Canis lupus familiaris: one gene and its partners. The protein of the gene in region 1 purifies or fractionates together with the protein of each later gene. This does not show direct contact. Links are inferred from orthologs where the notes say so. Each region holds a gene or a part of one and is shown in the gene's direction. Other genes may lie near its edges.

Evidence for each region. Proteins that work in one complex are often made in the same cells at the same time.
Region 2: the proteins of TGFBR1 (region 1) and USP15 purify together in Homo sapiens (affinity purification with western blotting; 4 studies listed by BioGRID). This does not show direct contact. The link is inferred for Canis lupus familiaris from reciprocal best matches to the Homo sapiens genes TGFBR1 and USP15.
Region 3: the proteins of TGFBR1 (region 1) and SMURF1 purify together in Homo sapiens (affinity purification with western blotting; 3 studies listed by BioGRID). This does not show direct contact. The link is inferred for Canis lupus familiaris from reciprocal best matches to the Homo sapiens genes TGFBR1 and SMURF1.

What each region holds. Positions count from the first base shown.
Region 1 is NC_049232.1:56,548,435-56,552,115, forward strand, and holds part of TGFBR1 (TGF-beta receptor type-1), read left to right. Parts: intron 1-257; coding exon 258-388; intron 389-3,681. UniProt on the Homo sapiens protein: Transmembrane serine/threonine kinase forming with the TGF-beta type II serine/threonine kinase receptor, TGFBR2, the non-promiscuous receptor for the TGF-beta cytokines TGFB1, TGFB2 and TGFB3.
Region 2 is NC_049231.1:5,996,268-5,999,473, forward strand, and holds the end of USP15 (ubiquitin carboxyl-terminal hydrolase 15), read left to right. Parts: intron 1-671; coding exon 672-854; 3' UTR 855-2,705; downstream 2,706-3,206. UniProt on the Homo sapiens protein: Hydrolase that removes conjugated ubiquitin from target proteins and regulates various pathways such as the TGF-beta receptor signaling, NF-kappa-B and RNF41/NRDP1-PRKN pathways.
Region 3 is NC_049227.1:10,567,713-10,571,393, forward strand, and holds part of SMURF1 (E3 ubiquitin-protein ligase SMURF1), read left to right. Parts: intron 1-127; coding exon 128-242; intron 243-1,497; coding exon 1,498-1,676; intron 1,677-3,251; coding exon 3,252-3,389; intron 3,390-3,681. UniProt on the Homo sapiens protein: E3 ubiquitin-protein ligase that acts as a negative regulator of BMP signaling pathway. Mediates ubiquitination and degradation of SMAD1 and SMAD5, 2 receptor-regulated SMADs specific for the BMP pathway.

The sequences.
Region 1 (3,681 bases):
CGTCATTAAAATAGCCTTTGCTGATCCCCTAGTGATATGTAGTTTCAGAGTGTGGGCCCAGTACCAACTCAGAGAGATGGGTTGTTGATGCTTGTTGATGCAGATGTGGATGAGATAGAGCAAGCTAGAAGCCCTGTTCCACTTCGCTAATTTATTAATGGAACCCTGAACTAGGACTCTCAGCTATTCCTGGACAAAGAATGATCTGGCATTAGCTGAGTAAATTCTTCAAAAACAATTTCTTTTAACCAATATAGGAATTCATGAAGATTACCAGCTGCCTTATTATGATCTTGTACCTTCTGATCCATCAGTTGAAGAAATGAGAAAAGTTGTTTGTGAACAGAAGTTAAGGCCAAATATTCCAAACAGATGGCAGAGTTGTGAAGTGAGTATTGATTTTGGATACTACACAATTTTCTGAACTGCTTCTGCTTGTATGTGGAAATTTGTTATTTTTTTTTTAAGGAAAATAGACACAAGAATTTTTTTTCTTTTTCTTTTTTTTTCATGGCAGTTAAATCAGTGAGTGAAAAACATAATTTGGTTTTCCTGTTCAATCTCAAGTACATCAAAAGGGCCATGGAGCATTTGCAGTGACCATCAGTGTGTCAGAATAGTATTTAAATCTACCAGTAAACCAAGGCACCTGCATTTTCATTTTATCTGTTTTTTACATGGAGCATTCAGTCCATTTACGTTTAATGCACTTATCAGTATAGACGGGTTTAAATTCACCATCTTTTTTCTTTTCTTTTTTTTTTTTAAGTGCACTCCCTAATCCCTATCACCTATTTAACCCATCCCCCCACCCATCTCCCCTTTGGTAACCACCAGTTTGTTCTCTGTAGTTGAGAGTCTATTTCTTGGTTCCTTTCTCTCTCGCATATGCATGCGTTTGTTTGCTTTTTACTTTGCTTGTTTTTTTGTTTCCTAAATTCTACATATGAGTGAGATCACATGGTGTTTGTCTTTCTCTGACTAACTTATTTCATTTAGCATTATACTTTCTAGCTCCATACATGTTTTTGCCGATGGCAAAATTTCATTCTTATGACTGAGTAATATTCTATATATACCACACCTTCTTTATCCAGTCATCTGTTGATGAACACGGGTTGCTTCCTTAGTTTGGCTATTGTAAAATAATGCTGCAGTGAACATAGGGATACATGTTTGCCTTTCAGTATTTTTGTATTTGGGGTGTAAATACCCAGTAGTGCGATTCCTGGATCATAGGATATTTCTCTTAATTTTTTGAAGGAATCTCCATAATATTTTCCACAATGGCTTCACCAATTTGCATTCCCAGGAACAGTGCAAGAGGGTTCTTTTTTTTTCACATGCTTGCCAACACTTGTTGTTTCTTGTGTTTTTGATTTTAGCCATTCTGACAGGTGTGAGGTGATATCTCATTGTAGTTTTGATTTGCATTTCCCTGATGATGAGTGATGGTAAGCATCTTTTTATGTGTTTGTTGGCCATCTGAATGTCTTCTTTGAAGAAATATGTCTTCTGCCCATTTTTTAATTGGATTCTTTGTTTTTTTGGTATTGAATTGTATCAGTTCTTTATATCAGATACATCATTTAAAAATATCTTCTCTAGTCACTGGGGTAGCACAGTTCAGTTAAGCATCAGACTCTTGGTTTTGGCCCAGGTCATTATCTCAGGGTTTTGAGATTGAGCCCCATGTTGAGCTCTGCACTCAGCGCAGTCTGCTTAAGACTCTCCCTCTGCCCTTCCCTCACTGTCTCTCTCTCTCTCTCTCAAATAAATTAATTAATTTAAAAAAATAATTAAAAAAAATCTTCTCCCATTCAGTAGGTTGCTTTTAGTTTTTACTGATCATTTCCTTTGCTGTGCAGAAGCTCTTTATTTTGCTGTAGTCTCAGTTTATTTTTGCTTTTGTTTCCTTTGCCTCAAGATACCTATCTAGAAAAATGTTGCTATAGCCAGTGTCAGAGAAATTACTGCCTGTGCTCTCTTCAAGGATTTTTATAGTTTTAGGTCTCACATTTAGGTCTTTATTCCATTTTGAGTTTATTTTTGTGTGTGGTGTTAGGAAACGATCCAGTTTCATTCTTCTGCTTGTTAACTGTCCAGTTTTTGCAACACCGTTTGTTGAAGAGACTTTTTCCCATTGTATATTCATTCCTCCTTTGCCAAAGATTAATTGACCATATGATCGTGGGTTCATTTATGTTTTCTGTTCTATTCTATTGATCTGTGTGTCTGTTTTTATGCCAGTATCATACTGTTTAATTACTACCACTTTATAATATAACTTGAAGTCCAGAGTTGTGATACCTTCAGTTTTGTTTTGTTTTTTACCAAGACTGCTTTGACTCTGAGGTCTTTTGTGGTTCCATACAAATTTCAGGATTGTCTTAGTTCTCTGAAAATGCTGTTGGTATTTTGATAGGGATTGCATTAATTATATAGATTGCTTTGGGTAGTTCTAGACATTTAAAAAATATTAGTTCTTCCAACCCATGAGCATAGAATGTTTTTCCATTTCTTTGTATCGTCTTGAGCTTCTTTCATCAGTGTTTTATAGTTTCCAGAGTACAGGTCTTTTACCTCTTTGGTTATGTCTATTTCTAGATATTTCATTGTACTTGGCATAATTGTAAATGGGTTTGTTTCCTTAATTTCACTTTTGCTGCTTCATTATTAGTGTATAGAAATGCAACAGATTTCTCTACATTGATTTTGTATCCTGCCACTTTACTGAATTCATTTATCAGTTCCAGTAGTTTTTTTGGTAGAGTCTTTGGGGCTTTCATATGTAGTATCATGTCTTTTGGAAAGAGAAGTCACCTGCATTTTAAACGAATGCATCGGGACGCCTGTGTGGCTCAGCAGTTTAGCGCCCGCCTTTGGCCCAAGGCGTGATCCTGGAGTCCCGGGATCGAGTCCCACATCGGGCTCCCTGCAAGGGGCCTGCTTCCCCCCTCTGACTGTGTCTCTGCTCCTGCCTCTTTCTCTGTCTCTCATGAATAAATGAATAAAATATTACAAAAATAAATAAATAAACAAATGCATCCTTTTGATCAGGGCAGCCCAGAACAGTAGAATGGGTGCTGGATGGAAATTAAGAAGCCTGTATTTTAGACCAACCTGGCCACCATTTCTGAGTCTGACTTTGGGCAAATCATTTCAGTTCTCCAGATCCTAACATGCCTTTTAAAAGGAGGAAGCTAGATAAGGTGATTGGGAGGATGGGTCTGATGATTTAACATCTTATTCATCCAGTTGCCTGTGTGACCAGGAATGTGGGTAAAATGCTTTCCAGCAGTGTCTGAGATTCTCAATTCCAGGTCTTACAAAAATTTTAGAAATGCTTTTGTACTTGGAAATTTAAAGAATTCATAAGACAGATCTTATTTAATCTATACTTAATTGCTAGTTGTCACTATTATAATATTGGCAAGAGCGAGCATTTTCCTCCAGATGTGAAATTTTATAACTTAAAAGGAATAAAAAGATGGCGACCTAAGTAGTTGGTTTTACATCTCAAAAGAACATGGGACTTAATAGTCAGGACATCAAGAGTGCTCCTTGGCTACCTCCAACAAAGTCAAGTGTCCAGGCCCAGATAAAATACATCTCAATGTGCTCAGAGAATTTACATGTTTAACAAATGAAATTGGGCTGGATTTTGTCTTTTACAGATTT
Region 2 (3,206 bases), on another chromosome or scaffold:
AGGTGGCGCTAAACCGCTAAGCCACCTGGGCTGCCCAGTGAAAGCCATTTCATTACAGTGACTGGGGCAAAAGATCATACTGAATCAAAGAGTATGCATGAGAGTGAAAATGAATATTCGATGACTCTCTGCCAGACTGGCACCTGGAGGAAGCAGTAGAATGGAAAGGGATTTAAGATGGAAACAACTTGAGTATTTGTTACGCTAAGAAGTGCAGTAGAGGAGGACTTAGTAAGGATACGCGGTGATGATGGATGGAGCAATATCCTTAAAACGGTAGGAAGAGCTGGACTCATAGCAAACTTCAAGTGAAGCCATTAGTAGTAGAAAGAAGCTTACCTTTTCCTTAGAGATGGGAGGGAAGAAGGCATAGAATTGTTTCATGTTAGAGTAGCTGGGTTAATCTGTGATATACTTGCATTTACTTATCTGTTCGATCAATGTAATAGAGAATAAAAATGTTAATTCTAGTGAGTATTCTTTCTTTATACATAGAAGTTGTCTTATATATAAACCAATTTTAGTAACTTCCATTTGACCCTTTGTGATTTTTAAATTTGATTTAGGCTCTGTCACCAAAGTCTTTTGGTTACCAGCTGAAACATTTATGGTATACTTAATGTGATCTTTGAGAATCATGACCATTTTAACATGCTTTGTTTTTTCAACAGTCCAAAGCAGCATATGTACTTTTCTACCAGAGACAAGACACTTTCAGTGGAACTGGCTTTTTTCCTCTTGACCGAGAAACTAAAGGTGCTTCAGCTGCCACAGGCATCCCATTAGAAAGTGATGAAGATAGCAATGATAATGACAATGATATAGAAAACGAAAACTGTATGCACACTAACTAATGAAAGTCCTAGAAGCCATAAAAGAGAGACTTTCCTGCTGGTGGTATCTGTTGAAATGATGAAGTTACCCACCACATTAAACAAAAGTCTGAGATGGGGAGTTTCAGATAACCGAATGTAAATCCTTTATCAGATTTTAACTTGTGCAGTACTTGAAGTGAAACACAATGAAAACTTTAACAGAAATTGTCTCTTAATACATTTACAGTCTTGTAATTACAAGCTAAATATATATAGGAAATCACAAATAAATCCCTTTTAAGTTTGCTGCTGTTTTGATGAATTATGTTTTCTTTAATTTTTTGGATGTGAGTTAATTGATGACAAATGTTAAATTTGTGGATGTTGGTCATTTATTTTGCTCTAATAATACTGCAAGAAAACTATGGCTGAACTTAGTTTTTGGATAATCTAGTTCATGTGCATTAGGCTGCCACATATATTACTACTATGATATTTAGCTGCGGTATCAATGTGGCATAAATACTGCAGTAGTATTCTTGGAAAACCAAATTTTCAAATCTATCCCTGGTAATCAATATGGGCCTATTAAAGAACCAAATCATGATATAAGAAACAATCTTGGAAAAGTTATTTTCTTTTGTAGTATCATTAAAAATCCAGATTATGTTCATCTTGCTGCTGTGGAAAACAGGTTCTAGATTTCACACTCCATCTAAAATCATTTTTCAGTTAAATGTAAGTATTTTTTACTGCTATTGGGATCTATTCCTTAGATATTCAAAAAAATTTTGACTTGCTTTAAAATGCATATCTTTAATCTGGTGTTGGTCCAAAATTAAAATTTTTGCTGTCTGTTTTTCTCTACCCCATTTTTTGGTAATTTGGCAACTTTTAGCTCTTCCAATTATTATAATATAAGGACAGACTTAATAGTATTCTGTATCCATAGTAATAATTACATCAAGCTTAGATGAGAAATTTTTTTAATATACTGGCCTTTAAATCATTAATGGACAATTGGCTTTAAAGGTAGGTCTGTTAACTTTCTTTGTGTGTTCCTGATGGAATTCACCATAGCCTTACAGCTTTTCTCAGAAGGTAACTTGTTAATTAAGAAAATTGGCATTTGCATGTTCTAGAGTCAGAACCTGTATAGTATATAAAGCATACAAACCTTGAATTTGATTTTAGTTCACCACATTCAAGGATCCAGGATGCCAAAAATATGTGTGAACATTTGAAACATTTTTCATTTGCTGCTTTTTCCCTTTGATCTAGTTGAAAGAATGTATTGTCAATTGGCATACAATACTGCCTTTAATAGAAAATCTAAATGCTGGGGCACATTTCACATATCGACTACCTGAGAAATTGCTTTGTGTCCCACTGTTATTAAAGCAAAAAGTATAATGTTCTTCACTTGAACTAATCAAATACAATAGATTATAAATTGTGTATTGTAAATAAAAGTTCACTCTGTGAGTGCACATTTTGGTAAATTATTTATTTATGTTAGCATTTAAAAGTTAAAAAAAAATGCATTTGACCAGGATAAATGAGGTATGTTGATCATGGCTTTGCTTTATACCTTGATATTAAAGCTGGTTTTTCATCCTGGTATTTTAAAAGCTGCTTTGGGTTTTTGTTTTTTTTTTTTTTCTTTTTTTTCTTTTCTTTTCTTTTCTTTTCTTTTCTTTTCTTTTCTTTCTTTTTTCTTTTCTTTTCTTTCTTTCTTTTTTCTTTCTTTTCTTCTTTTTTTTTTTAATGTAAACTAACCTCCTGCATGACAGAGGTTAAAATTTTGTCTGCACTTGAGTTCACTTGAGTTTACATTTGAAATGTGCATGTTTATTTATACAGATTTCAATAAAGCTATTTAAGGCCTTTTTTAGTCTTTTATTTCTTACTCTGAATCTTTTGATAAAAATCCCCCATTTTATGGGTAGGTGACTATATAATAGACATTTTAGTTAGTGTATAATTAAAAATAGAAAGGAAAGCATGTCAAAGTAAAGCAAATCCTATTAAGGATATGTTTCAAAGTTGATTTTTTAATCTAAATATTCATTAAACATTTGTGCACCTACTAATCACTGTTCTGTAGCTTTAAGATATAGCAGTAAAGAAGCATCCCTCCACTCACAGAGCTTGCAGTCTTTCTGCTGTCTACCAACTAATAGGCTTTCCATTTTTCTGAGGTTTAAAGAAAAACCAAAATTAACTTTTTCCAGCCCTGGATTATAGTCTCCACCTCAGTTGTCCATAGAGACCATTTACTTTTAATGCCTGTGATTAACTTTTATTCCCACTAAAAGAAGTGTTCTAAAATAGAAAATGTTGTTAATAATGTTGAATTTGTCAATGTCAGCTGCAAAAAAAAAAAACAAA
Region 3 (3,681 bases), on another chromosome or scaffold:
CACTTTCTTTCAGAGCAGGACATCCCTCCAGTGTGGCCTTCCAGGGCACAGGCAATGAGTCTTTTGGGTAAGACATAAGATTAGATATTTCACACGTATAAAATGGCTTTCATGTTATTGTTCCTAGGGAGTGGCTTTATTTATTATGCCATGAAATGTTGAATCCATATTATGGACTCTTCCAATATTCTACGGACAACATTTACATGTTGCAAATCAACCCGGATTCTTCAATTAATCCAGTAAGTATTCACGCTTATAAAGAGGGAGTGAATTGGAAAATTTTTGTAAATAGATATTCAGGTTTGGTCTCAGTTTATTCATTGTAGACTTATGCAAAGTCTCTGACAATAGATACTGAAAGGTAGAGTGGGAACTGGATTGAGATGGAGGCTTTCTCTCCTGTGTGTCCCATGCCTGGGATCACTGGGTATTTTGTTTTCAAAGACAGAAGTGAAAATGAGCTGCTCGGAATGCTCAGAGCCCTTTAATCACCAATTGGGGGAACTGAGGTAGTAGGACTGTGTTTGTTGACCGTGTCATTCTGAGACGTGGGCTACATAGTCGGTCCTCCTCCTAATCAAAATGGGAACTTCCCCAACTGGCCTTTTGGGCCACCAGTGCTGATAGTCTTAGCTGCTTGCTTGAGAGGAGGCTGTAAGTGTGGAGTGTTTGCGTGACCAGCCCAGAGTTGGGCAGCAGGTGTTTGGGGGCTGTCCTGTGGGGCAGGGCCCGTGGTCACCGCTACCGCTACCGCTGCCGCTGCCGAGGCCAAGGCCCCTGAGGCAAAGCCTGGGACCAGCTCTACACTACAATCATTCAGGTGTGACAGAGTTCTTTACCAAAATGGAAATGAGGTTTTGATGAATTCTGATTATAATTCCAATGGAAAGCAGAGATGTGTGTTTTCCTGTGAAAAACCAGAGCAGCTCTAGTTTTAGAATGGTCCTCTTACACTTATTTTCCTTTCTGTTCCTTTTTTGCTGTTTCTTCTTCTTTGCATTTTTTTCTCTTCCACTTTCTCTAGGGACTCGGGGAGGGATGGTAGAAGAAGGAGGGGATTTGCCATCTGCTTGCTTTCTCTGTGGTGCAGCAGGGAGACGCGGGGCCAGCTTCCTGGGCACCTTGCTCTTTGGAGGACCTGTGCTTGGTTTCATTCCCTGCAGTTGCTGTGTTGAAATCCTTAACAACTTTGGAGTAAGGGGCCCTGCATTATCCTTTCACACGGAGTGCCGCCAGTGACGTAGCAGTCCTGAGCAGGTGTCTGAATTAAGGGCATGTAACATGTTCAGATGATCCATGCAGAAGACGTGCTCCAAGTTTTGACCACCTAACCTGCTCTCTTTCCTATGTCTGAGAGCACAGCCTGTGAGGGATGGAGTCAGGGCCTGGCTGCAATGAGACAGTTTTCCCAAAAAGCTTGGAGGCAGCACAGGGTCTCTCCACTCTGGCTCTGCCTTTTTCTAATGACTTCGTGTTCTCTGGTGCCCCCTACAGGACCACCTGTCTTATTTCCATTTTGTGGGCCGGATCATGGGTCTCGCTGTGTTCCACGGGCACTACATAAACGGGGGCTTCACGGTTCCCTTCTATAAGCAGCTCCTGGGGAAGCCCATCCAGCTCTCGGATTTGGAGTCGGTGGACCCAGAATTACACAAGAGCTTGGTGTGGATTCTGTAAGTACAGCCTCACCGTTCAGTTCATGGAACATTCGTGCACAGCCACCCATCTTGTGTGCCAGACTATCATTCTGTATGTGTGTGTGCATGTGAATGCTTTTGAGGGGTGGGTGTGAAGTTGGTGCAGAGAAATAAAGAAACACTGATTTACAACCAGAAACATAAAAGAAGATTTAACAAGAAATACTCTGTTGACTGGCTTTTTTCATGATGTTTGGCCAGTTTCACTTCATAGGCTCATTTCTTTTGCTGTTTCCTCACATTTTTCAGGTCTGATCACAATTGGTCCCCAGGCCTGAGAGGTGGGTGGGTGGTTTGCTTTTGACTCTCTAGGGGGGCTCTGGTTAGCAGGTGGAGGGAAAGTATCAAAAACAAAATCAGCATCAAAGTATCTTATGTCAAAGTATTTGCTACAAGAAAAGTATCAAGAGAAATTATATTCAGTCACCTTTTTTTTTTTTTTTTTTTTTTTGTTTATGATAGTCACAGAGAGAGAGAGAGAGAGAGAGGCAGAGACAAAGGCAGAGGGAGAAGCAGGCTCCATGCACCGGGAGCCCGATGTGGGATTCGATCCCGGGTCTCCAGGATCGCGTCCTGGGCCAAAGGCAGGTGCCAAACCGCTGCACCACCCAGGGATCCCCATATTCAGTCACCTTTGTTTCAGAATTATCGTGGGCAGCCTGGGTGGCTCAGTGGTTTAGCATCTGCCTTCAGCCCAGGGCGTGATCCTGGAGACCCGGGATCGAGTCTCATGTCGGGCTCCTTGCATGGAGCCTGCTTCTCCCTCTGCCTCTCTCTCTCTTGGTGTCTCTCATTAATAAATAAATAAAATCTTTAAAAAATAAAAATAATTTTAAAAATTTAAAAGAATTATCCTAACATACCCTTGCAAGCAGTGGGCCCAGTTGCATGGTGAGCAGCGTGTCACAGGTCCTCACACGTGAACTGATCCCACAGCAGCGGGAGATCCAGGCTCTGGCAGAGGGAGAGTCTGGTCTTGCACTCTACCTCACTTCACGTGGCCCTACTGGAAATGGGTAGTCTGTGAGGGGCAGGGAGATATTTCCCTCTGTTTCGAGAAGTGTGGCAGGTGGAGGAGCCCATCGAGACTCTCATGTGCTACTTTGTGTGAGGGGCTGCCTTAAAGGGGCGGGAGGACAGTATCATCTGAGTGTATCTCCCTGCAGGTTGCTTTCTCATTGACTCGGCTCTTCATGCATCCCTCTCTTCTGTTTATAGACTCTGTTTACAAAGCAGTCAGGTCACTGTGTCTTGTAAAATCACAGGATGACAGAGCCACTGTCACCTTCCTGTGAACGAGGGGAGCCAAGTATCAAGGGTGCATCGTGGAACCATGGTCCCCCGGCACCTCCCGCTCCAAGTGTCCCTGGCCTGTCCCAGGCCCTGTGTCTGCCCAAGGCTCCCCACCTGTCCCCACTCAGCTCTGGGGGTAGCAGTCAGTAAATGCCATTGGTCCGTCCATCCATCTCCTGGACTGTTCCAGCTCCTGTTCTGTTCACAGCTGTATTGTGGCCATGGTCTGACATCCGTCTTCTGTCCTAACTTCCACAGAGAGAATGATATCACCCCCGTGCTAGACCACACTTTCTGTGTGGAACACAATGCTTTCGGGAGGATTCTTCAGCATGAACTAAAACCCAATGGCCGAAATGTTCCTGTCACAGAGGAGAACAAGAAAGAATATGTCCGGTAATGTTCCAGGGAACCGTGGTGGCTGCCCATGGGGACGTCCAGATGCCTGGGACCATCCTGGGTTCACATTTAGATTGCCAAAGTTCCTTCGCTGTTTGAGGCTTACCCATCCCGGCCGGCACTTTTGATCAGAATCACAGTCATAGAGCAGTCGGGTTCAGCAGTGGGGCTCTGTGCAGAGGAGCCCCGATCCCACCAGGGCTGACCTGGTGAAGGGAGACTAATGAGCCCAGAACCCAAGTGGTGGAAGGGATTGCAGGTGGCCTTCCGATCTGGGTGTGAAGGTGGT